Oryctolagus cuniculus: one gene and its partners. The protein of the gene in region 3 interacts with the protein of the main gene of each other region in a pairwise test. Links are inferred from orthologs where the notes say so. Each region holds a gene or a part of one and is shown on either strand. Other genes may lie near its edges.

What was found.
Region 1: the proteins of APPL1 (region 3) and UBE2O interact in binary tests that used the Homo sapiens proteins (3 or more experiments, as listed by UniProt). The two-hybrid records come from large-scale screens. The link is inferred for Oryctolagus cuniculus from reciprocal best matches to the Homo sapiens genes APPL1 and UBE2O.
Region 2: the proteins of APPL1 (region 3) and ADIPOR1 interact in binary tests that used the Homo sapiens proteins (3 or more experiments, as listed by UniProt). The link is inferred for Oryctolagus cuniculus from reciprocal best matches to the Homo sapiens genes APPL1 and ADIPOR1.

Annotation. Positions count from the first base shown.
Region 1 is NC_091448.1:4,313,706-4,320,977, forward strand, and holds the start of UBE2O ((E3-independent) E2 ubiquitin-conjugating enzyme), read left to right. Parts: upstream 1-3,426; 5' UTR 3,427-3,498; coding exon 3,499-3,921; intron 3,922-7,272. UniProt on the Homo sapiens protein: E2/E3 hybrid ubiquitin-protein ligase that displays both E2 and E3 ligase activities and mediates monoubiquitination of target proteins. Negatively regulates TRAF6-mediated NF-kappa-B activation independently of its E2 activity.
Region 2 is NC_091444.1:18,682,478-18,689,658, forward strand, and holds the start of ADIPOR1 (adiponectin receptor protein 1), read right to left. Parts: upstream 3,847-7,181; coding exon 3,706-3,846; intron 2,700-3,705; exon of another isoform or gene 1,579-2,699; coding exon 1,462-1,578; exon of another isoform or gene 454-1,461; coding exon 282-453; exon of another isoform or gene 1-281. UniProt on the Homo sapiens protein: Receptor for ADIPOQ, an essential hormone secreted by adipocytes that regulates glucose and lipid metabolism. Required for normal glucose and fat homeostasis and for maintaining a normal body weight.
Region 3 is NC_091441.1:92,679,450-92,686,952, forward strand, and holds the start of APPL1 (DCC-interacting protein 13-alpha), read right to left. Parts: upstream 4,578-7,503; 5' UTR 4,434-4,577; coding exon 4,380-4,433; intron 1-4,379. UniProt on the Homo sapiens protein: Multifunctional adapter protein that binds to various membrane receptors, nuclear factors and signaling proteins to regulate many processes, such as cell proliferation, immune response, endosomal trafficking and cell metabolism.

The sequences.
Region 1 (7,272 bases), on a different chromosome or scaffold from region 3:
TAGCCAGCTGTGGGGGCCCCGGGGGACCAGGTTTCTTGGTTAGCACATAAAGATTCTTCTCTACGGATCTCTCTACGATGATGAAAATAGACACTAAGAGGCGTGCCCATCCACACTCACCCCACTGGCCAGCCTGGGAGGGAGGGACAGCGGCTGAGGGCTCCGGGTCTGGGGCGGCGTCCAGAGCACCTCGGGCCCCAGTGCGGTCACTGAAAGGTGGGGAGGAACTGACTGGAGGCAGCTGGAAGGGTTTGCAGGCTTGCCCAGGAGGTCAAAGTCTCTTGCCCCAAGCTTCAGCTCATTGTGTAGGGGCATGGTGGGGGGGAGGGGCAGGGGAACCCAGGTGGGCCTTCGACACCCGGCAGCTGACACAGGATTGACTGAGTTCCAACACTCAGCCTGTACTGAGCCTGCACCAGGCAGACGTGACCCGAGCCCCGCGCTCTGGGATTCCGTCTGGTGAGGAAGCCGGCAGCATTCGACATCGGGGACTCTTACCTGCAACCCGGCGGGTTCCTAATACCCTATGCAAAGCACTTAGCCTGGTGCCTGGCAGGACGTTTCCAGCTCAGTAAGTGGCAGCTATTATTAGCTGTTATTACAAGAAGCTGCAGAGTAAACGCGGCACATCTTCCTGGAGTGCCGATTTCCCTCAAGGATTAGGGCAGAAAGCACATCCCTATTTTTTACGTCAAAATGACAGGCGTGCGCTCGAGTAGGATGCAAAACGCATTTGGGTCTTTTTTTTTTTCACATCAAACACAGGTTTGAGGCCGGCACTGCCCCGCCCCTTCGGCCTACTTGCTCCTTCCACCCCCTCCCCGTGGACACAGGGACACATGGATGCCCCTGTCAGTCAGGAGCTTGCAGAGAGACAGCTGGAGACACAGCCCCTCTGCTTGCAAAGCGAGGTCTCCACCTCTTAGGCCCCTGGTGTTTCCATGCTGGTGGAAGGGGGCCACAGCTCCTTTGTCCAAGGTAGCACACAGGATAATGCGTGTGGAAGAGCCCGGCACAGGCCATGGTATGGTATGTACTTGATGAATGTTGGGTAGGGCCTGGCTTTGCGGTGCAGTGGGTGAAGCCGCTGCCGGCAGCGCTGGCCTCTGTGTGGGCACCGGTTCAAGTCCCGGCTGCTCCACTTCCCATCCAGCTTCCTGCTAATGCACCTGGGGAAGCAGCAGGAGACGACCAAGGGCTTGGGCCCCATGTGGGAGACCTGGGTGGCTTCATCGTGTTCCAGCCCCTCATTGTGGCCGGTTGGGGAGTGAACAAGTGGGTGGTGCTCGCCGGCTTTGAAGAACCTGGATACTGTAATATCAGCCTTCTTACTGATGGTCTTGCAGAAAATGAACTAGACTGAGAAAGATTCGGGCCAGTTCTTGAGGATTCTTAACTTTTTCTAGCCACTCGTCGTGAATCTGTCCTCTGAGAATATTATCTAAATCTTTTGGAACTGACTTAGGTGACATTTAATTGGTTGAATGACTTATATTTTGAAACGGCGACACGGAGCAGACCATACAGTAACAGTTCTGGGGGCCTGGAGCTTGGGCTTAGACGGGTTTTCAACATCACAATCATGGTTAAGCTTGCAGAGGCGTGGTTCTACTTCATCCAGCCCTCTCAGCTGAACGACGACACAACAATATCACCCCATTTTACAGGCGACAAAGCTAAGGCGAGGAGCAGCCGTCTGGCCCACTGGTTAAGACGCCTTCATCCCGCAGGGGATACTGGGTTGGGTACTCGGCCCCTGACTGCACTTCCTGCCGGAGTGCATGCTGGGAAGCCATGGTGACAGCTCAGGTGCTTGGGTTTCCACCACCCGTGAGAGACCTGGGTTGAGCTCCGGGCTCCTGGCTTCAGGCCCCGCCCCCAGCCCCGGCCACTGTGGGCATTTGGGGGTGAACCTGCAGATGGGGGCACCCCCCCCTTTGCCTCTCAAGTGAATGAACACTTTTTAAGGTGAAAAAGTTAATTATTGTGCCTACCTTTATGTACATTAGTGAGTAGCAATGTCAAAAATTAGAATCTGTGGAACTGGAATCCTTTTTTTTTTTTTTTTAAATATTTATTTATTTATCCGGGGCAGGTGCTGTGGTGCAGCAGGTTAGAGCTCTGGCCTGAAGTGCCGGCATCCCATATGGGCACTGGTTCTAGTCCTGGCTGCTCCACTTCTGGTCCAGTTCTCTGCTGTGGCCTGGGAAAGCAGTGGAGGATGGCCCAGGTCCTTGGACCCCTGCACCCACATGACAAAAGAAGCTCCTGGCTCCTGGCTTCGGATCAGTGCAGCTCTGGCCATTGCAGCCATCTGGGTAGTGAAGTAGCGGACGGAAGACCTCTCTCATTGTCTCTACCTCTCTCTGTAACTCTGTCTTTCAAATAAAATCTTTTTAAAAAGATTTATTTATTTATCTGAAAGGCAGAGTTAGAGAGAGAGAGAGAGAGAGAGAGAGAGAGAGATCCTCCATCCGCTGGCTCACTCCCCAAATGGTGACAACAGCCAGAGCTGTGCGGATCCAAAGCCAGGAGCCAGGAGCTTCATCTGGGTCTCCCACGCGGGTGCAGGGGCCCAAGCGCCAGGGCTATCCTCTACTTCTTGGAACTGGAATCTTTTAACCACCTCATTATCTTATCTCTTGCTATGCACGCTAGGCCTTGTGGAACGTTGAACTCATCGAAATTTTTTTAAAGATTTACTTATTTATTTGAAAGAGTGACAGAGCCGGAGAGATAGACTGAGATCTTCCATCTGCTGGTTCACGGGTGGCAGGGGTCCAGGCACTTGCGCCGTCTTCCACTGCTTTCCCAGGTGCACTAGCAGGGAGCTGGACGGGGAGTGGAGCAGCCTGGACGTTCAACCCTCATATGGGATGCGGGCGGCGCCTCTGGATGGCTTTAAACCCTGGGGCCCTGACGTTTGCTTTGCTTTCTTACTGTTTCCCCGACTCCCCTTCGCCGGCCCGGCCCAGTGCTGCGCGACCTTCCAGTGCTGCGCGACCTTCCCTCACGTGTCTATCAGAGCCTTGCGGACAGGCTGCTTAACGCGTGTTTGTTTTGCCTTTCCGGAGAGCCTGTAAACACCTGGAAGCCAGAGGCAGCCTCGCACCGCCCAGCACCGGGCAGGGACGCCCGGGAGCGCATGGACGGCCTCTGGACCAAGCGCCCTCCCCGCTTCGGCCCCTGCCCAGGTCCTGGACGACCACTCCGCTTCCTCCTCCGAGTCCCGGCTCCCTCCACCCCGATGCCCTCGGGCCTCCCCAGCCGGCCGAATCCAGCGTCCCCCGCCCCGGGGGAGCATCTTCAGCGTCCCCTAGCGACGACGCGGCGGCTCCTAGCAACCGCATCCAGGCTCCCTGACGACGGAGGCACGCAGGCCACGTCAGCGCGCCGCGGCCACGCCCCCGGCGCGCGCTGGCCCCGCCTCCCCGCGCCTCGTCCGCCGCCGCCGCCGCCGCCGCCGCCGCCGCCGCCCGAGACTCACGCAGAGCAGTTATGGCGGATCCCGCAGCCCCCGCGCCCGCAGCTCCCGCTCCCGCCCAGGCCCCAGCCCCAGCTCCGGAGGCGGCCCCGGCCCCGGCCGCAGCCCCTGCCCCGGCGTCGGCGCCGGCCGCCGGGCCGGACTCGACCTCCGGGCCCTCCTCCGACTCCGGCCCCGAAGCCGGCTCGCAGCGTCTGCTGTTCTCTCACGACCTGGTGTCGGGCCGCTACCGCGGCTCGGTGCACTTCGGGCTGGTGCGCCTCATCCACGGCGAGGACTCGGACTCCGAGGGCGAGGAGGATGGCCGCGGCAGCTCGGGCTGCTCGGAGGCGGGCGGCGCCGGCCACGAGGAGGGCCGGGCCAGCCCGCTGCGCCGCGGCTACGTGCGCGTCCAGTGGTACCCGGAGGGCGTCAAGCAGCACGTGAAGGAGACCAAGGTGCGGCCGGGCGGGTCGGGCGCGAGGGGCGGGGAGGGGTCGGCCGCGGCCGCCCGGGCGGGCCGGCCGTGCCCGGAGCGCCGCCACTGCAGTGGCTCCATGCAAAGTCATTGCACCAGCTCCGGGCGGACACGCCAAGCCGGCGCTGCTGGCCTGGGCCCGGGCCCCGGGCTTCCCGGCTCGAGGGGGAGGGGACCTGCCAGCCGCGCCGGGCCGGGCTTCGGCCTCCAGGTCGCGGGCGTGCCGCGCTCCCGCGGGGGGCAGAGCTGCCCCCAAGGAGCGCCTTGCTGCATTGTGCGTCCGGAACGGCGGGCCGCGCCGCCCGGTGCAGGGAGGGAGGGGTCGCAGCTCTCGGGGCCGAGATCGGGGGACGGCCCTGGAAGTTCCCCAGGTGCAGAAAGCCCCGCGGGGCAGCCGGCCTGCCTCTTTTTGTCTCACGGAGCCGCCCCGGTTCTCTGACTGCAGCGGGGAGCTTGGCGTGTGAAATTCTCCAGGAGGTTAAATAGCACCGGGGTGGGGGTGGGGGTCCTGACGGCGGCCTGGGCGGTGGGGGACTCCCGCGTGCTTGCGGACTTTTTGGGAGGACAGATGATTACAGGACCATGGATAGGGGACCGGCCCCGACTGGGGAGCCTGGAGCGTTTTTCTGGATTCCGAAGCTGTTAGGCAAACATCAGAGTCCCATATGGCACTGGGGTGCGGCTGGTGGCTGTCGCAGTTTTTAGACAACAAAGGGGCTTGTCATCCTAAACCTGAAACCCTGCACCCAGGTTGGTGTGGTAGCTTGTCCACGCCCCCTCCCCGTGTGACTAACTGTCAGTGGTCACACACACCTCCATCGCACACCCTCTCGTCCTCACCTCCACCCCTGCCCTCCGTGTGAAACGGGAACCCGGCACCCGGCCGGCCTGCGCTGTCTGATCTCACAGGCTCCACTTGAGAAGTTAATCTGGGTTTCTCTCACGCCGGGAGACAAAGACCACGGAGGAGCAGCTCCGAGCCCCACTGCACGGGGCTCTGTGAGGACGGCTGGGCGGGGACAAGGCCCCTCGCCTGCCAGCGCTTTCCTGGTGGCAGAAGTGACTGCTGATCCCAGCAGGGTCTTTCTCTCGCTAATGCGCATGCACCCACAGGCCCAAATCCACACACAGGCCCGGGCCTCCCCTCAGAAATGCAAATCAGGCAGCCGTCTCCGACTGGGTATACGTTCATTTGCAGAAGTCTTTGGAAAATACTGCTTTTAGCCAGGGATGCATGTTTAAAAAAATGTGCGGGTGCTCCGTGCACGCCCTCATTGTCTTGCGGGCAGGTGCTGACTGCTGTCCCCGGGAGGTGGTCACCTCCGGTCCTCTCTGGAGGCTGGTGACTTTCGGGATGCAGCTCACTTGACTCCAGCATCTGCCCGGCACCCAGGAGGCAGCTGTTTATCAGTTGCCGCTCCTGCCCAACTTGACTTTGGTGGTTAACTTTGTTTACAGCCACGCTAGGTGCGCCTCCCTCACCATGTGTAATTATACCAAGTTTGCCTTAAGATGCCTATTTAGGGAGTCAAGTGAGGATGACTTGCAGGCACCACTCGAGTAGGTTTTAAGACGGCCCTCGTGTGACTCGCCTGGAATCATTCAACTCCGTTTTGCCGCCCCGGTGGTGGTGGTTTCTTTGCCGTCATGGCTTTTGGACTTAGCAGAAGCCCAGGGCGCAGGGACCCCTCGGAAGTGAGTGCAGTGTCCGGATCTTTTGAGGGCCTGGAGATAGGTCCAGCGGTTGGCACAGACGACCTTGGTCCACTGCAGGTCTCCTTGCAGCACTGTGGACTAGGGAGATGTTCCTCTCATCTCCTGTTCTTCTAGATTCCGTCACGGCGATGGCCCGCTGTGGAGACCATCAGACCAAGGCTAGGATTTGGTTCTGGTGCCTGCCCCGGCAGTAATCCAGTGATGAGATTTAGAGCCCAGTTATCAGTAGAATAGCATGGGGCACACTGGGTTCTAGTCCCAGTCGGGGTGCCGGATTCTGTCCCGGTTGCCCCTCTTCCAGGCCAGCTCTCTGCTGTGGCCAGGGAGGGCAGTGGAGGATGGCCCAGGTGCTTGGGCCCTGCGCCCCATGGGAGACCAGGAGAAGCACCTGGCTCCTGCCATCTGATCAGCGTGGTGCGCCGGCCGCGGCGGCCATTGGAGGGTGAACCAACGGCAAAGGAAGACCTTTCTGTCTCTCTCACTGTCCACTCTGCCTGTCAAAAAAAAAAAAAAAAGAATAGCATGGGGTGGCATTGAGGAACTTTGCCTTTTTTGATAGTGTGGAGTGAACTTTGCCTTTTTTGATAGTGTCCCTTTAGTGTGGAGTGTTTCTGAGGCTGTGGAGGATTTTTTTTTGTAGTTTTCATGTTGAGTTGGAGGGCAGTGAGTGAGTTTGCAGTGAACAAGTTTACAAGGAGAGAGAGAAACTGGGCAGCAAGTCCTGCCCTCACCCCGCCACCTCTGCGCAAGTGAGCAGTGCAAATAAAGGAGTTCTTACAGCAGCCCAAATGGAGTTCCTTTGGAACTGGACGGAAGAGAGTGACCGGGGCCTCTGAGGTGGGCCCGCCTGTCCGCAGCCTGCTGGTGCCTTCAGCGCGCTGGCCATTTACCCTTGAAACTTGAGGGGGCGTACCCGTCCCCGCCAGCGGTCATCCGTTGCATACATTGTGGAGTGGAGCCCAGATGCGGGCAGCCTCTCCTCTCCTGAACACCGGCGGGCCTGTGGCTCTTCCTGGCCCCCGTGGGAGGAGCCAGGACTGCAGCCTCCTTGTGTTTGCCCGTCCTGCCTGTGTTTGCCCGTCCTGCCTGTGTTTGCCCGTCCTGCCTGTGTTTGCCCGTCCTGCCTGTGTTTGCGCGTTCTCCCAGCCCCCCTGTGTTGTCTTTTGCTGCGAGTTGCCCCGGCACTGCGGGTGTCCGGGTTTGAGACACAAAGCCTCCAACCTGAAGCCGTGTGTGATCACCCTGCTTTTATGAGGCTGCCTAAGAAGCAGCCCAGTGACAGGTCCCTCAGGAATTGGCTTTTTAGTTTATTTTTGGCTCCTACTTAGGCCAGCATTTCCATGGGGAAAGCTTTCAAGGTGCAGCAGCGTCACACAGCACGTGAAGTTCGACTCGCTTGTCGGGGTGCCGGGCCCATTAGAAGCAGTTGTTCCCAGTGATGTGACAGGAAGAAGTTATGTAAGGTGGACGGATGCAGGACCAAGTGCATTCTATTCAGATGGGATCCCAGCGCCTGGGGATTCCGGCAGCGCTGGCATTTTACTTTCTGCCCCTCGGCTTTTCCGCTTCTAACTAACTCCTGGGCCTCAGCGCCGGAGAGCGTCTCTGTCCAGAT
Region 2 (7,181 bases), on a different chromosome or scaffold from region 3:
TGGCTTCAGCCTGGCCTAGGCCCAGCCTCTGTGGCTATTTGGGGAGTGAACCAGCAGGTGGAAGTTTCTCTTTGTTTCTGTCTCTCCCTCTCACTGTTTCTGTAACCCTGCCTTTCAAATAAATAAATCTTAAAAAAAAAGGGGGGGGGTACAACTCCAGCTATCCATTAACCAGAGCAACTACACGGGCCTTCCTTCCCAAGGACAAAGGCTACACAATCCCTTGGTAGTTAAGGAAACAAAGCCGGATCCCCTCCCCCACCCCGACCCAAGCCACTCACCAAGCAGGTGGGTCCAGATGTTGCCGGTCTCCGTGTGGATGCGGAAGATGCTTCGGAAGCAGGCCCGGAAGGAGGGCATGGGCGGCCGGTGGCCGTGGAGCAGGTAGTCATTGTCCTTCAGCCAGTCGGGCAGCACGTCGTACGGGATGACCCGCCAGCGGCCCTCCCATACCTGCAACAGGCAAGCTCGCGCTAGGCAAACACTGGCTCCCTGGGATGAGCAGGGACCCCGAGACCCCATCTGGGAAACTGTCGGGCAAGCTTCCGCTGGTCCCTGGGACAAGCAGGGAAGCAGCGTGGACCAGCCGAGTCACAGCATGCGTGGGCTACCAGGGCGCTGACTCAGACTCTGACCGCTTTCTAAAAACTGCGACGTCCTTGTCTCACGATTGTGTATCTGGATATGTTTTTGTACGCGATTTTCAGCTTTTAAAACAAATCTGCCACACCTCCTTTAGGCCACTTGAAATTTCAAAACTGAACTAGTGAATGAAGACAAATTTCACTTCGGGTTTTATAAACACACGAGCCCTTCTTCGTCCCTCTCCAGGAGACGGCCTGCCCCGCTCCATCCCTCCCGCGGTCACACTCTCAGTTCTTTTTGGCCGTGACTTCTACGGTCTAGAGCAGGGGTCTGAGTCTAGGGTCTGTGCACCATGGACAAAATCCAGGGAGTGGATGAAAACTTGGATGGAAAAAAGGACCTTGGTTTTCATTTATCTCTAACTGCATTTAGGATTTCCCTCAATTACAGATGTAGGCAACGGACCAGAGTATTAGAACATATGGCTTTGTCGCCAACAGAAACCTCCGATGTTCTCACACGCTACTTCTGCAGGTATTTCAAAATGCTCACCACTACTCAGAAAGTACACTTCGACTCGAGTTCAGCAATACTGCTCATGTGGCATGTCACAAAGGAACCTACAGCACCGCAGTGCACTGACATAGACTTCTTAGCATAAAACAGCAGAGAACCCCTGCTTAGACTATTGTGAACAATGCCGGGTACAGCAGGCACTAAACATCTGCCCAGGCTGCATCACCTCGACTTCACCTTAACCAACAAGACAAACCCGCCCGCAGCGGGAAAGCTCCTGGGCCCACGGCAGCTCGCCAGCGGGAACGTCCAGGTAAGCCGGCCGCCCTCGCCCTCCCAGGACAGGCTCCCGAGCTGCACCTTGTACACGAACTCCTCCATCTTCTCCATGGCGTGGTGGGCCTGCAGGGGCAGCGTCAGCACCCGCACCTCCTCCTCTTCTTCCTGGGGCACCGGGCATGTTTGCTCTTCTTCAGCCTGCGGGAAAACACAGGGAGTCCCCTCACCCACTGTGCCGCACCAGGCCCGGCGAGCAGCAGAGAAACACAACTCAGTGCTTTCTGCCGGCCTCTCTCCTACACAGGGCCAGAGCACGACAGGAGGATGCGAGGGGAAGTTCATGGGCAACGCAAGTAAAAGATGCATTCATTTTGGTACAAGAAGATTTGAAATTTATATACATGATACTCAAAAAGCTCATGAAAAATGTATATTAGAAAAAACTGCATGCAAAGATTTCAATTTTTTCATACCAAAATAAACTCATCTTTACACCCCAGTTTTCTACAAACTTTTAAAGTACCCCCATATTTACTGGTTCACAACACTGTGGTCTGAAATTATGAACACTTTGTAAACGCGGGAGTGGAAGTTCCACTTGGCACCAGGAGACAGGTCCTGGCGGAGAAGACAGCTGAGGGACAGGGGACGGGCACACCAGCCCCAGGTGTTAAGACTGGATGGCGGGGCCGGTGCTGTGGTATAGCAGGTAAAGCTGCCACCTGCGGTGCCGGCATCCCATATGGGCACCAGTTCGAGACCTGGCTGCTCCTCTTCTGATCCAGCTCTCTGCTATGGCCTGGAAAAGCAGTGGAAGATGGCCCAAGTCCTTGGACCCCTGTACCAGCCTGGGAGACCTGGAAGAGGCTCCTGGCTTTGGATCGGCCCAGCTCTGGCTGTTGCAGCCAACTGGGGAGTGAACTAGTATATGGAAGACCTCTCTAACTCTGCCTTTCAAATAAATAAATAAATTTTTAAAAACAAAAACAAAATGACTTGATGATGGAGCTGGTGCTATGGCAAAGCAGGTTAAGCCACTGCCTGCAGTGCTGGCATCCCATATGGGCACCAGTACAAGTCCTGGCCGCGCCACTTCTGATCCAGTTTCCTACTAATGTGCCTGGGAAAGCAGTGGAAGATGGCCCAAGTGTTTGGACCCCTGTACCCACATGGGAGACCCAGGTGAAACTCCTGGCTTCAGTCTGGCCCAGCCCTGGCCGTTGCAGCCATTTGGGGATTGAACTAATGGGTGGAAGCTAGCTCTCTCTGTTAACGCCACCTTTCAAATAAATAAATAAATCTTAAAAAAAAAAAAAAAAGACAACGGCCCATCCTTCTCTTGAGGCTGGTAAATCTCAGCTTCCCCCAATTTCCAAATAGTTCTTTCAGACCACTACATTTTCAACTTGTCAAGTAGGCACAGAGTCTCCGACTGCCTTCACAATTCTGTTCCTGGTTCTGTGAGCTGACTCTGGGGATGCTATTTGACTGCAACTTTGTATCCACGGAGGCCCCCAGGAGGGTCAGTGATCAGAACCGGTTCCCCAGACGGCGGCAGTAGCAAGAGCCCGTACCCATGCAGAAGAGAGACCATTCGAAGAGACCGTTCTCCCCGTCCCAGGCCTCCAGCCATGGAGATGGAGACCCTGGCAGTCCTGTCCTTTCTCTGGGCTGCTCCCTCGCCCTCTTGTTGAAACACACAGTCCCTCTTAGATCCTGCGATGCAGATTCTGCTTGCCTATCCCAACATCCACCGTCTCTCTCTTCCTAGGTAAGTCCTTGTACTCTTCAGGGTGGCAATGCTACTCAGGCCCAAGGAAAAGACTCGCTTTGGAGCCTCCATTGTGGCTGAATGTAACGGCGTCGTTCCCCTCGGCCCGCGTGTCCTGGAGTGTCTTCCAGAGGGAAGGAGGTGTCCTCATCCCCAGGGAGTAGTGTGCGTGACAGACAACGCCTAGAACGACTGAGGAGCCAGACGGGCTTTGGCAGGCGTGCGCCCGCCTATCAGCCACGCGCTGGCTCCTTCCAGAACCTCTCACGTGAGATGCTGTCTTGTCAAAGCTGCAGAAGTTGTGCTGCTATAGGCCGTCGAGCGCGCCCCTAACCGTCTGCTCCCTCCCTTCCTGGCTTTCAGGCCTTGTGCTAAATGCTGGGGTTACAAAGAGGAGTGAATTCCCAGAAACTCAGAGTGGAAAAAACAGGCAAAAAGATACCGATGAGACCTCGGACAGAGATGTTCCTGGGGGGCTCGGATCCTAAGGCACAGCGGCCGACAGAGGGCCAGGGCGCGCGCCTGGCCGGGGAACGGCTCCGGGAGCGACTTACTTTGGTTGGGTTGGTGACTGCTCGTTTGCCCTTCTCTTCTAAGAGGGGTCCCAGTTCGGTCAGCTCCACCGAGTCTGCGTCCCTGTTGCTGGCAGGTGCCCCGTTGCCCTGTGCTGCCGCGGATCCTTTGTGGGAAGACATCAGGCTGGCACCGCAGTACCCTGCAGCTTCAGCTTGCGGGGGGTCGGGGGCTCTCAGCCCCAGGAGGCAGAGATCTCCCTGTGATGGTTGACGCTGAAATCAAACACAATGTGAAGGTCGTCGATTTATTCCTCTTATAGTTTCACCTCCATAATTTAATACTAAGACACAGCTAATCCACACACACCGTGTCTTCAATTCTGAAAGCCAATGAATTGCTTAGAAGAATTCTATTCTTGCCTGTCTTTAATAGCATTCTGTATTAAGAACCTGCTGATCCTGCCGACATGGCTGCAAACAGTCACCACCGAGACAAGCTACCCCACCCCCACTCCTCTAGGTGTGGAGTCCCTGCAGGAGGACGGTCTGCGGTGATCACTCCCGCCACGGGGCTGCAGCTGCTGTCCGATCACCCAGGCTCAGAAATGAGTTAAACACCAACTGACTCAGTTGCGCTTTACCTACAAATGCTCTGACAAATGTGTTTTGCATACAAAAGCCACTTGCCTGTGCGAGGGATGACCAGCAGGAAATTTGTTTGTAGGATCTGCTAATTCTATAGGCATTATAGGATTACAGGCTGGGTTCTCCTTGGATAGTAAGATTTCATCACAATCTCCCCTTAAAGCAAGCAACATTACCTGGCAGCAGGAAGTTGAAAGCAAGAAGGCAGCCCCAGGTTTGCCCTTTGCCTCACAAACAATACACACACACACACACACACACACCCCTAATAACTGGCTGCACAAGAGCCTGTCCCAACCACCACAGACATAAGCTAAGCCCCACTCAGTTTAGGTTTTCAGAAATTACAAAAAGGAACACAAATCCTTTAGGGAAACTGAAGAAACCCAGAATTCGGTTTTCTAGGAAAAGGCATAGAAACACTCGGTTCTCCTGGGCTGGACTTGGGGTCGCAATCTCTCACCAGGCCTCAGGGACATGCCAAGAACACCAGAAGGAGGGAGCTGGTCCCAAAGATGTTTACTTGTGCTGCAAATTACTGTTCTGCTCCCCTCCCCGACTCCAGACAAGGGACTTTATTACACACAGGGAAGTTGTGGCCAGATGTTAGAATTTTCTTGCGGTGGTTACCCAAGCCCTAATAACCACAGGCCACTGCAAAGAGGGCCAAGTCACACCTGCACATGGAGTGAGCTGGTCACAGGAGACGCGACTTTGCTCCCGTACAAGACACTCTCTTGTTGATGGCCATTCGCCAGGAATGCAAACATCTTTGGCATCCTGTACCAGTTTCTATCCAAGAGTAATTATAGTTTCTTCTAAGGGACTGCATTGGATATATGCAATCAGGTGGGATGGCTAATTTTTTGTGTTAACTTGAACAGATTAGGGGACACCTACAATGCTAATAAGGCATTATTTCTGGGTGTCCCTGTGAGGTTGTTTCTAGAAGAGACTGGTGTTTGAATCATTGCATCGAGTAAGGAAGCTGTGTCCTCACTCACTGTGGGCGGCACCAACTAATGGGCTGCGGGCCCGGACAGAACAGAGAGGCAGAGGAAAGACAGAATTCATTTCTTCCTCCCCCCTCCCCCTTCGCTCTCACAGCCAGACGTGCTTCCACCCTTGGACATCTAAAACTCTAGATTCTCCAGCCTTTGGGCTCTGGGACTTGTGCCAGCAGCCCCACGTGTGACTGAGTTAGGCTGCTGGCACCCTGGGTGTGCACGAGGCCACTCTGTCGGCTTTCCTCGTCCTCCGGCTTGCAGATGGCCTGTCATGGGACTTAGTCCTCGTTATCATGTGAGCCAGCTGCCCAATAAACCCCTTCTCTTCCATCCATCCACCCTGTTGGTTCTGGCTGGGGAACACTGACTAATACTTTAATTTGCCCTCAAGTTTCAGAACAGTCATGCCTCATACTACATGTTCAACCCAGAACCAGAGCTGAAAGCAACAGGCAAACCTAGCCCGAGGGAGACAGACAACAGCTCACCGCACAGCAGGCAGAGCTTACGTGGTGACAACGCGCACAGTTCCTCTTCCCCTAAATGTGCAAGGCTCTGACAAGGCAGATGCCCGCGCACAGTCAATAGCTGAGCTCAAGGAGAACAGGAAACTGGAGGCCCCTGAGGACCTCGGGAGATCCCGGCCCCCACCAGAAGAAACATTAGGAAACGTTTCTCAATAGGCTGACCTGAAAACACACTTCCTTAAAATGACAGGCTGCTGAATAAACAGCTTCCCGAAGAAATAATCTATACCACCAGCAAAAATGTAACTAGACTTGGGCATCTTGGAGAGGTCTGAGAGAAGCACGGAGCAGACCCAAGGCAGAAACACAGCTAAACAAACAGCCTCGCATTCGGGATGCAACGCTACACAGGTCAAGATACACATCTCTGATTTGGGTCAGACCTCATGTTTCAAGATGATTGAAGGGGCCAGCGCCGTGGCTCACTTGGTTAATCCTCCACCTGCAGCGCCCGCATCCCATATGGGCCGGGTTCTAGTCCTGGTTGCTTCTCTTCCAGTCCAGCTCTCTGCTGAGGCCCAGGAAGGCAGTGGAGGATGGCCCAAGTGCTTGGGCCCCTGCACCCGCATGGGAGACCAGGAGGAAGCACCTGGCTCCTGGCTTCGGATCGGCGCAGCACTGGCTGTAGCAGCCATTAGGGGAATGAACCAACGGAAGGAAGACCTTTCTCTCTGCCTCTCTCTCACTGTCTATATATAACTCTACCTGTCAAATAAAAACAACAACAACAAAAAAAGATGATTAAACGAGGGGGCCCGCGCCATGGCACAGCCAAAGAAGCCTCTGCCCGCAGCTCTGGCATCTTTTATGGGTACCAGTTTGAGTCCCGGCTGCTCCACTTCCAATCTAGCTCCCTGCTGTGGCCTGGGAAAGCAGCAGGGGATGGACCAAGTGCTTGGGCCCCTGCACCCATGTGGGAGACCCGGAAGAAGCTCCTGGCTTCAGACTGGCCCAGCTGCAGCCGTTGTGGCCATCTGGGGAGTGAACCAGTGGATGGAAGACCTCTAACTCTCTGCCTTTGCCTCTCTTTCAAATAAATAAATAAATCTTAAAAAACAATTCTTTAGGGTGCTAGTGAATGGGTTGGCTTGCTCTGGGGAGGGGATACAAGAGCCCCACAGTACAAGGAAAAGGGCAAGAACTCTAGCTGGTGCCGAGAAGCCAAGTCATGCTCACTGTGTGCAGTCTGCCCTGATCATTCAATTTTTTTTCCCTTTTTTAAGATTTATTTCTTCGAAAGGCAGAGTTAGAGATCTTCTATCTACTGGCTTACTCCCCAAATGGCCACAACAGACAGGGCTGGGCCAACCAGGCCCATATGGGATGCCGGCACCAT
Region 3 (7,503 bases):
CAGGGGCTATGGCACTGGATGGCCTACCCTCCAGTCATGAGTACTGTGATAGTATGGAGCCTTGGCTCTGTGCTATACGCACACTGGGCCCAGTGATATGTTTTGCCTAAGGAGTAATAGTAAGTCATCCCAAGGCCAGTGCCGCGGCTCAATAGGCTAATCCTCGGCCTTGCGGCGCCAGCACACCGGGTTCTAGTCCCAGTTGGGGCGCTGGATTCTGTCCCGGTTGCCCCTCTTCCAGGTCAGCTCTCTGCTATGGCCCAGGAGTGCAGTGGAGGATGGCTCAAGTCCTTAGGCCCTGCACCCTATGGGAGACCAGGAGAAGCACCTGGCTCCTGCCTTCGGATCAGCGCGGTGCGCCGGCCGCAGCGCGCCGGCTGCAGCGGCCATTGGAGGGTCAACCAATGGCAAAGGAAGACCTTTCTCTCTGTCTCTCTCACTGTCCACTCTGCCTGTCAAAAACAAACAAACAAAAAAAAGTATGTCATCCCAAGTTGGGGAAAGAGGGACTTTGGTCAAAGACTGACCTTGGGTTTTTCCAGACGGAGCGTAGTGCTGGAAAGCAGAGGGACTTGCCTTCCCTTCTCCAGAGGTGGTGCTGTCTTCCAGTCCTTTCCCAGCGCCCATATGGAATGTGGCACTACAGTGGTGGGCTTTACCCGCTATGCCACAGCGCGGCTCCCAGAGTTCAACTCTTATGAACCATTTTTTACTCCAAAGTCATCAATATTCTTGTTTTCTCACACATGTTATTCATGTTATCTTACATGTTATTCTGTGTTCCATGAATTTGAGGGATGTGACAAGTATTTCTTAGACCTTCTCCACCTTTGTTCCTAGTATCATCTTCCAAGACAGACTCTCACTTCCACCAAGCAGAAAAAGGTTTTCCAGTAACAACCTTTCCTTCCTCAAATGACTGTTAAACTGATTTGCTAACTTTACTAAGAGGCTGCACTTGGACAGTATGCCACTAGGAGAAACAAACAAGTTTGTTCATCTGTAGGCAAGGTCAAATACATTACAACTGCCAGGGGAATCTGATGTTAAAACATGGAATTAAAAAAGTGTATCTTACATTCTATGGGTATTTCACATTATGCAAACAAAGAAATCCTCACTTGAGATTGAGGTTTGTCTTCACCATTCTATATCATGGATCAATCATTAAGTATGTATACAGGAAATCAATAATTGTTTAAAAATTTATTCAAAAATCTGAGAGAGAGGGAGAGACATATCTTCCATCGCTGGGTTCACTCCCCAGATGGCCACAACAGCCAGGCCAACAGAGCTTCATCCAGCTCTCCCAAGTGGGTGGCAGGGGCCCAAACACATAGGCCATCTTCCACTACTTTTCCCAGGCCATTAGCAGGGAGCTGGCTCACAAGTGGAGCAGGTGGGGCACAAACCAGAGCCCATATGGGTTCCCAGCATCACAGTTCCTAACACCACAATGCAGGCTGCCAAAATCAATAATTTTTAGAAGTCATACCTCTTCTTAGCATGTTTTATTTTTTGTCTCATTTTCAAAATGATTTATAAACATGGTCAAGTCACCTAGTGCAGGCTTAAGATTTTCTGTCTCAACAGACGACCTCTTGCAGAACAGTGTGGTATGGGCAAGATAATTTTAAAGATGCTTATGTTTAATCAGCTGCATTTGAACTTGTAGATTCACCCTATTTTAATACCTAGTTACTATAAAGCAAAAACTACTAAAGGTAACAGTAATTCAGGATAGTTGTCCATGACTCCCACGCTGTTTTCACACAGCAACTGGCAGGCCACTTTTCATTAGGATTAACGATCCAATAAAAAAACTTATCTATACCAGGAGCTTTAAAAATGTTAATATTCTTTGTTACTCCACTTCTTGGATTCTTTCCTAGATAAAATAGTCTAAACTGAGAACAAAAAGTTATGCTCAAAAGCATTATTTAGCCCTCTTCAGAAAAGCTAAATTTTGGGATAACTCTAAAATGCCAACAGGTCAACTGTTCAGTCAATTAAGGAAAGGTGCTGTCCTCAGACTTTTTTCTTTCAGAATATAGTAATGTGAAGATATGTGAGCTAATTTGTTACGCTGAAAGAACAAAAATAACTGAACACAATATAATTTCAATTACACTAAAACATGTTGAAATAAAAAAGACTAGAATAAAGCCAACTGTTAATAGGGTCTGCTGCTAGGGCTTGGCAGGTCAATTGTGAATGTGCATTTTCTCCTGCATCTTCCAGTTTTTCTGAAGCAAGCCACCATTATCTTTTAATAATCAGGGTGAAAAATTCAAACACTCACTGAGGCTCAGAGAATTTGAGTGACTTGCCCTCGAGCAGAAAGTACCAAGTGGTAGACAAACCCTTAGCTCCTCAATTCCACACCCAGGGCTTTCTAGCCCAACTACAGGTTCTCCCTGGGAATTACCTCCAGGTGCTTTCCGTTTCCTCCTTAAACCCCAGCTTTTCCAACCAATTTTCCCAAATATTACCCAGTTCAAATGTGCTGCTTCTGGATATTAAAGTATCAATGTAGCTATTTCATTTTAAAAACTACTACACAACTGATACAAAGAACTCATTTTCAAATTGTAAACTATGTGAAAAACTCAAGACATGAATCAGATGAGTCAAGAGATCATTTGTGGCCGGTGCCGCGGCTCACTAGGCTAATCCTCTGCCTGCGGCGCCGGCACACCAGGTTCTAGTCCCGGTTGGGGCGCCAGATTCTGTCCCGGTTGCTCCTCTTCCAGGCAGCCAGCTCTCTGCTGTGGCCCGCGAAGGGAGTGGAGGATGGCCCAGGCCCTTGGGCCCTGCACCCGCATGGGAGACCAGGAGAAGCACCTGGCTCCTGGCTTCGGATCAGTGCAGTGCGGTGGCCACAGCATGCCAGCCGCAGCGGCCATTGTAGGGTGAACCAACGGAAAAGGAAGACCTGTCTCTCTCTCTCACTGTCCACTCTGCCTGTCAAAAAAAAAAAAAAAAAATCATTTGTGCCTCAAAACTCGTGGCTGGAGCACAGTGCAACCCATTCTGAGCTGTGGTCTCTCTCTGGGCTACAAAACACAGAAGGTAAGGCAACCTGCAGCAACTTACAGAACAAAAAAGCAAAATGACAAAGCGCACCTGGCCAAAACCTCCCACAAACCACCTGAAACAAGACAGTTTCTAACTCTGTACTACAGGAGTCATTAAGAGAAATCTGAACTGGGAGTCAAGATAAACCAAAATGCGGGTGTCTCTTTCGGTTAGTCTAGGCTGATAAAAGAGCATTACCAGCCGGCACCTACTGGCCTGGGAAGATAACTTTCAGAATGTAACAAGTACAAATCAGTTCTACAATCAGAGCCCAATTTCAACCTGGCAACTCAAACTGGCACAAAATCCAAGGCAGAGGAGGTACCCAGGAAAGGGGGCATGATCCAGCCTGTGCTTTCTTTTGAGGGAGCCCTATCAAATCGTAGACACGTGGAATACGTGCATTTTATTTCGAAATACACAAAGCTTCAGAGACGTTTCCGAGTGGTATCTAGCAGTATGTCTTCAACTGCTTATTGGTATAAAAGGCAGGCTTGGGAATCAGGTTTCTCCGAAGCTAAGTTACAGCCCCTACTCCCCTCCCGCCAACATCTTTCCTGAAACAGCTGATTCCATTCCTGGGTTACATTTCCCAAAAAGCGGTCAGAATCGCCAGCCGTCAAAGCAGCATCACCCCCCAACGCACCACACACACAACACCGGGCTCTTATTTTGATGAGTTTATTACTGGAGCCAAGTCTGCAGCGAGCGGCGCGGCGGCCGGCCAGCCGCGAAGGCGCCGTCCCTCGCTCGCCGCGCACCGCTCGGGCTGTGACAGCGGCCGGGCCCGGCCCCGACGCGAGCACCGCGGGCGCGGAGAGCGGGGACGGGCTCCGGGACACACAGCCCTCCTTTCCTCGCCTCCCCAGCTCGCCGAGCCGCTGCGGCCGCCGAACAAGACTACCAGGTTGGCTCCCTTTCCTGCCTTTCCTCCGAAAATTCCGGGGTGGGGGAGCTAGCACCTCCCATCGCAGCGATTAAAAACAAAAACAACAAAACAGGCACTTTCCATCCAACACAGAGGAGACCCGCGCGCGGACGTGACTGCCAGGCCCACGACAGGCGGCGGCGGCGGCGGCCGGCTCGGTCCCCGCCCGCGGCCCTCGGCCCTGCAGCGCGGGCCCACGAGGGCCTCGGGAAGCGGGCCCGGCTTCGAATGCTCCGGGCGCGGCCCGAGTCCGCGGGCGGGGGATACCTGGGCGGCGGCCCTACCTGGGCCCGGGCGGGCACCGGCGGCAACCGCAGGCCTGTGGTCCTCCCGCCCGGCTCGCCTGCATGGCCCGCCGCCGCCCGCGCCTCACCTGCGGGCTGTCCTCCAGCGTCTCCTCAATGGGCAGCTTGTCGATCCCCGGCATCGTGGCGAAGGGAGGGCGGTGGCAGGAGACGCAGCGGCCGCCCACAGCTCCCCGCGCCCGCCCGCCTGCAGCAGCTGACCGCGGCCCGCCCTCCCTCTCGCAGGCTCTGCCGCCGCCGACGCCGACGCCGCCCGCGCCGCCCTCGCCAGGCGCCGAGCTGCCGCGCGGGAAATCCCGCCCCCCGGCCTGCTCGCCCCGCCTCCAGGGGCTCCCATTGGCTCGAGGCCACGCCCGTCAGCGCTGGAGCTGACCGGGAGAGGTTCCTCTAGCGAGAAAAACTGCTCTGCGAACCCTGGCCTCGCTGGTGGCGGAGGCGGCCCTGTCTCGGCTGGGCGATCCCGTGTAGCGTTCGGGCGTTTGGATGCAAATCGGCAGAGCCCGTCCCCCGCCACGGCTTGCAGCGCGAGTTACCGGAACCTCGAGGGAGCATCACACTGGGGAATTTGGGGCAGTCTTACTTCTCCGGCAATGTATTTCGTCAGCGACCTTGGAAAAACCCCTACCGCTGGCGCCTTTCCTCAGTTTCCTCAAATTATAACCTTCCCAGACCTGCCTGAAGCATCCAGCAAAACGGATGTCTGTGAGATCCGAAGTTCCGTCATTAACTGGAGCTTCTGCTAAATTTGCGGGATCGAAATGCGCCTTCCGGGCGCTTGGTAATAGTTTATTGAGTTTAAAAAACACAGACCCACCACCAGCAACAACAAGAAAAAACCCATGACTGTTGCCAGTTCGGCAGCCCTTACCTACCCACGAAGGAAGAACTGACCTGCCATTCTTTTACATCACAAAGGAAAACACCCTTTAAATATGAGGCCATGCTGCTTGCTTATGTTGATAACTGATTAGCATTTCTGTTCGATCAAAAAAACATTGGAAAGCGGGTTCACATCGCTTCTTTTACAGTAAAGCGAAGCATCGAGTCGGGGATTGGAGCGAGTGAAGCCTGAGACCCCGTCTCTCCCTGCCTCCCCGGTCCGTCTTCCCCCACCTCCATTTTTCTGTAGAGTTAGCAGTGATGCTTTCTTCAGTGTAAAGAGAAAATGGCAAAATAAACTAGCCATTTGTCCCACCAATCCATCCCGTTTTCATTTAAGAAATAAAAAAGATGCTGAGTAAGGATGAATCGCCGCCCGATGCCACAGATAGATTGAAACACATATGCTGTAATGAGGATGGAAGTTACATTTTCTTTAAAGATTTATTTTATTTATTTGAAAGAGTTACAGATACAGAGAGAGGTCTTCCATCCACTGGTTCACTCACCAAATGGCCGCAACGGCCAGGGCTGGGCCGAGCCAAAGCCAGGAGCCAGGAATTTCTACCAGGTCTCCCCCATAGGTACAGGAGTCCAAGCACTTAGGCCATTCTCTGCTGTTTTCCTAGGCCCGTTAGCAGGGAGCTGTATCAAAAGTGGAGCAGCTGAGACTCAAACCTGCCCCCATATGGGTTGCCAGTGCTGCAGGCCAGGGCTTTAAACCGCTGCACCACAGCGCCAGCCCCAGAAGTTACATATTTTTAACTAAAATACTAGGGTTTCTTCTGATCTCTCTCTTTTTAAAAGTTTTTGTTTTGAAGGACAGAGGGAGAGAGACACACAGAGATTTCCCATTAACTGGTTCACTCCCCAAAAGCCTGCATTGGCCAGGGCTAGGCCAAGCAGAAGCTGAAGCCTAGGCACTCCATCATCCCACATGGAGGGCAGGGACCCACATACTTGAGCCGTTACTGCTGCCTCCCAAGGTGCACATTAGCAGGAAGCTAGAATTGGAAGCAGAGCCAGGACTGAAACCTAGGCACTCTGATATGGGATGCAGACATTCCAAATGGCCATCTTAACTTCTTAGGCTGGATGGTAAAGTTTGTTTTTTTTTTATTTTTGTGGTTTCTTTCAAGATTTTATTTATTTGAAAGGCAGAGGTATGGAGAGGCAGAGGTGGTGGGGAAGTGTCTGCCATCCGCTGATTTACTCCTCAAATGGCTGTAATGGCTGGCACTGGGCCGATCCAAAGCCAGGACCCAGAAGCTTATTCTGGGTATCCCACATGAGTGCAGGAGCCCAAGGAGTTGGGCTATCTTCCACTGCTTTCCCAGGCCATAGCAGAGAGCTGGATCAAAACTGGGGCAGCCTGGACTGGAACCAGCACTGCAGGCGATGGCTTTACCCATTACGCCACAGTGCTGGCCCCAGGTTTTTAAAACATAATTTTGTCTTTCCTTCAAGAGATCATGGTGCTCTAAAGAATCATGATGGGGCTGGCATTGTGGCACAGCAGGTTAAGCCTCTGCTTGCAAAGCCAGCATCCAGTATCTAAACACCAGTTTGAGTCTCTGCTGCTCCACTGCCTATCCAATTCCCCACTAATGCTCCTGGAAGCCAGTGTAAGATGGTTCTATTTCTTGGGCCCCTGCTACTCATGTGGGAGACCTGGATGGGGTTCCTGGCTCCCAGCTTCAGCCTGGCCCAGCCTGAATTCTTGCAGCCATTTGGAGAGTGAACCAGAGGACAGAAGAGCACTCTCTTCCTCTCTCTCTCTCTGATGTCTTCCTTTCAAATAAATAAATCTTTAAAGAAAAAAAAGAGGAAAAAAGATGTTATGATTTAAATGGGAGAAGGTAGTGACTCCTGATAAGAAATAAGTAGCAAGTGAAAACAAAGTATAAGACAAAAGAGTTAAATAGTGTAACTGAAGGGGAGTTACACAATTCTCTTGGCCAAACCAAATAATTCCAAGGAAAACTTCTGTTAGGTATCTGAAATATCTGGGTGTGATCTCTCATCCAGTTAAATGGTTTCCTTCTTTGTATGGTGTGCACATCTAAGTTGTGTTTTTGTACAGAACTCCCAATAGGCTATTACGTTCTGAGAAAGGCAAGGAATTGTTGCCAGACTCAACTGGTTAAAAAACAAAACAAAGATTAACATTCAATTGGATGGAAAGGTGGTTAAGTTGAATTATAAAATTATAAAACTAGAAAGAGTTATAAAATGCCTCAAATTGGATCCTCTCGCCTTAGGCCACTCTACACCTTGCTCATTCAAAAATTTGGTCCTATTTCCTGTTTTAAA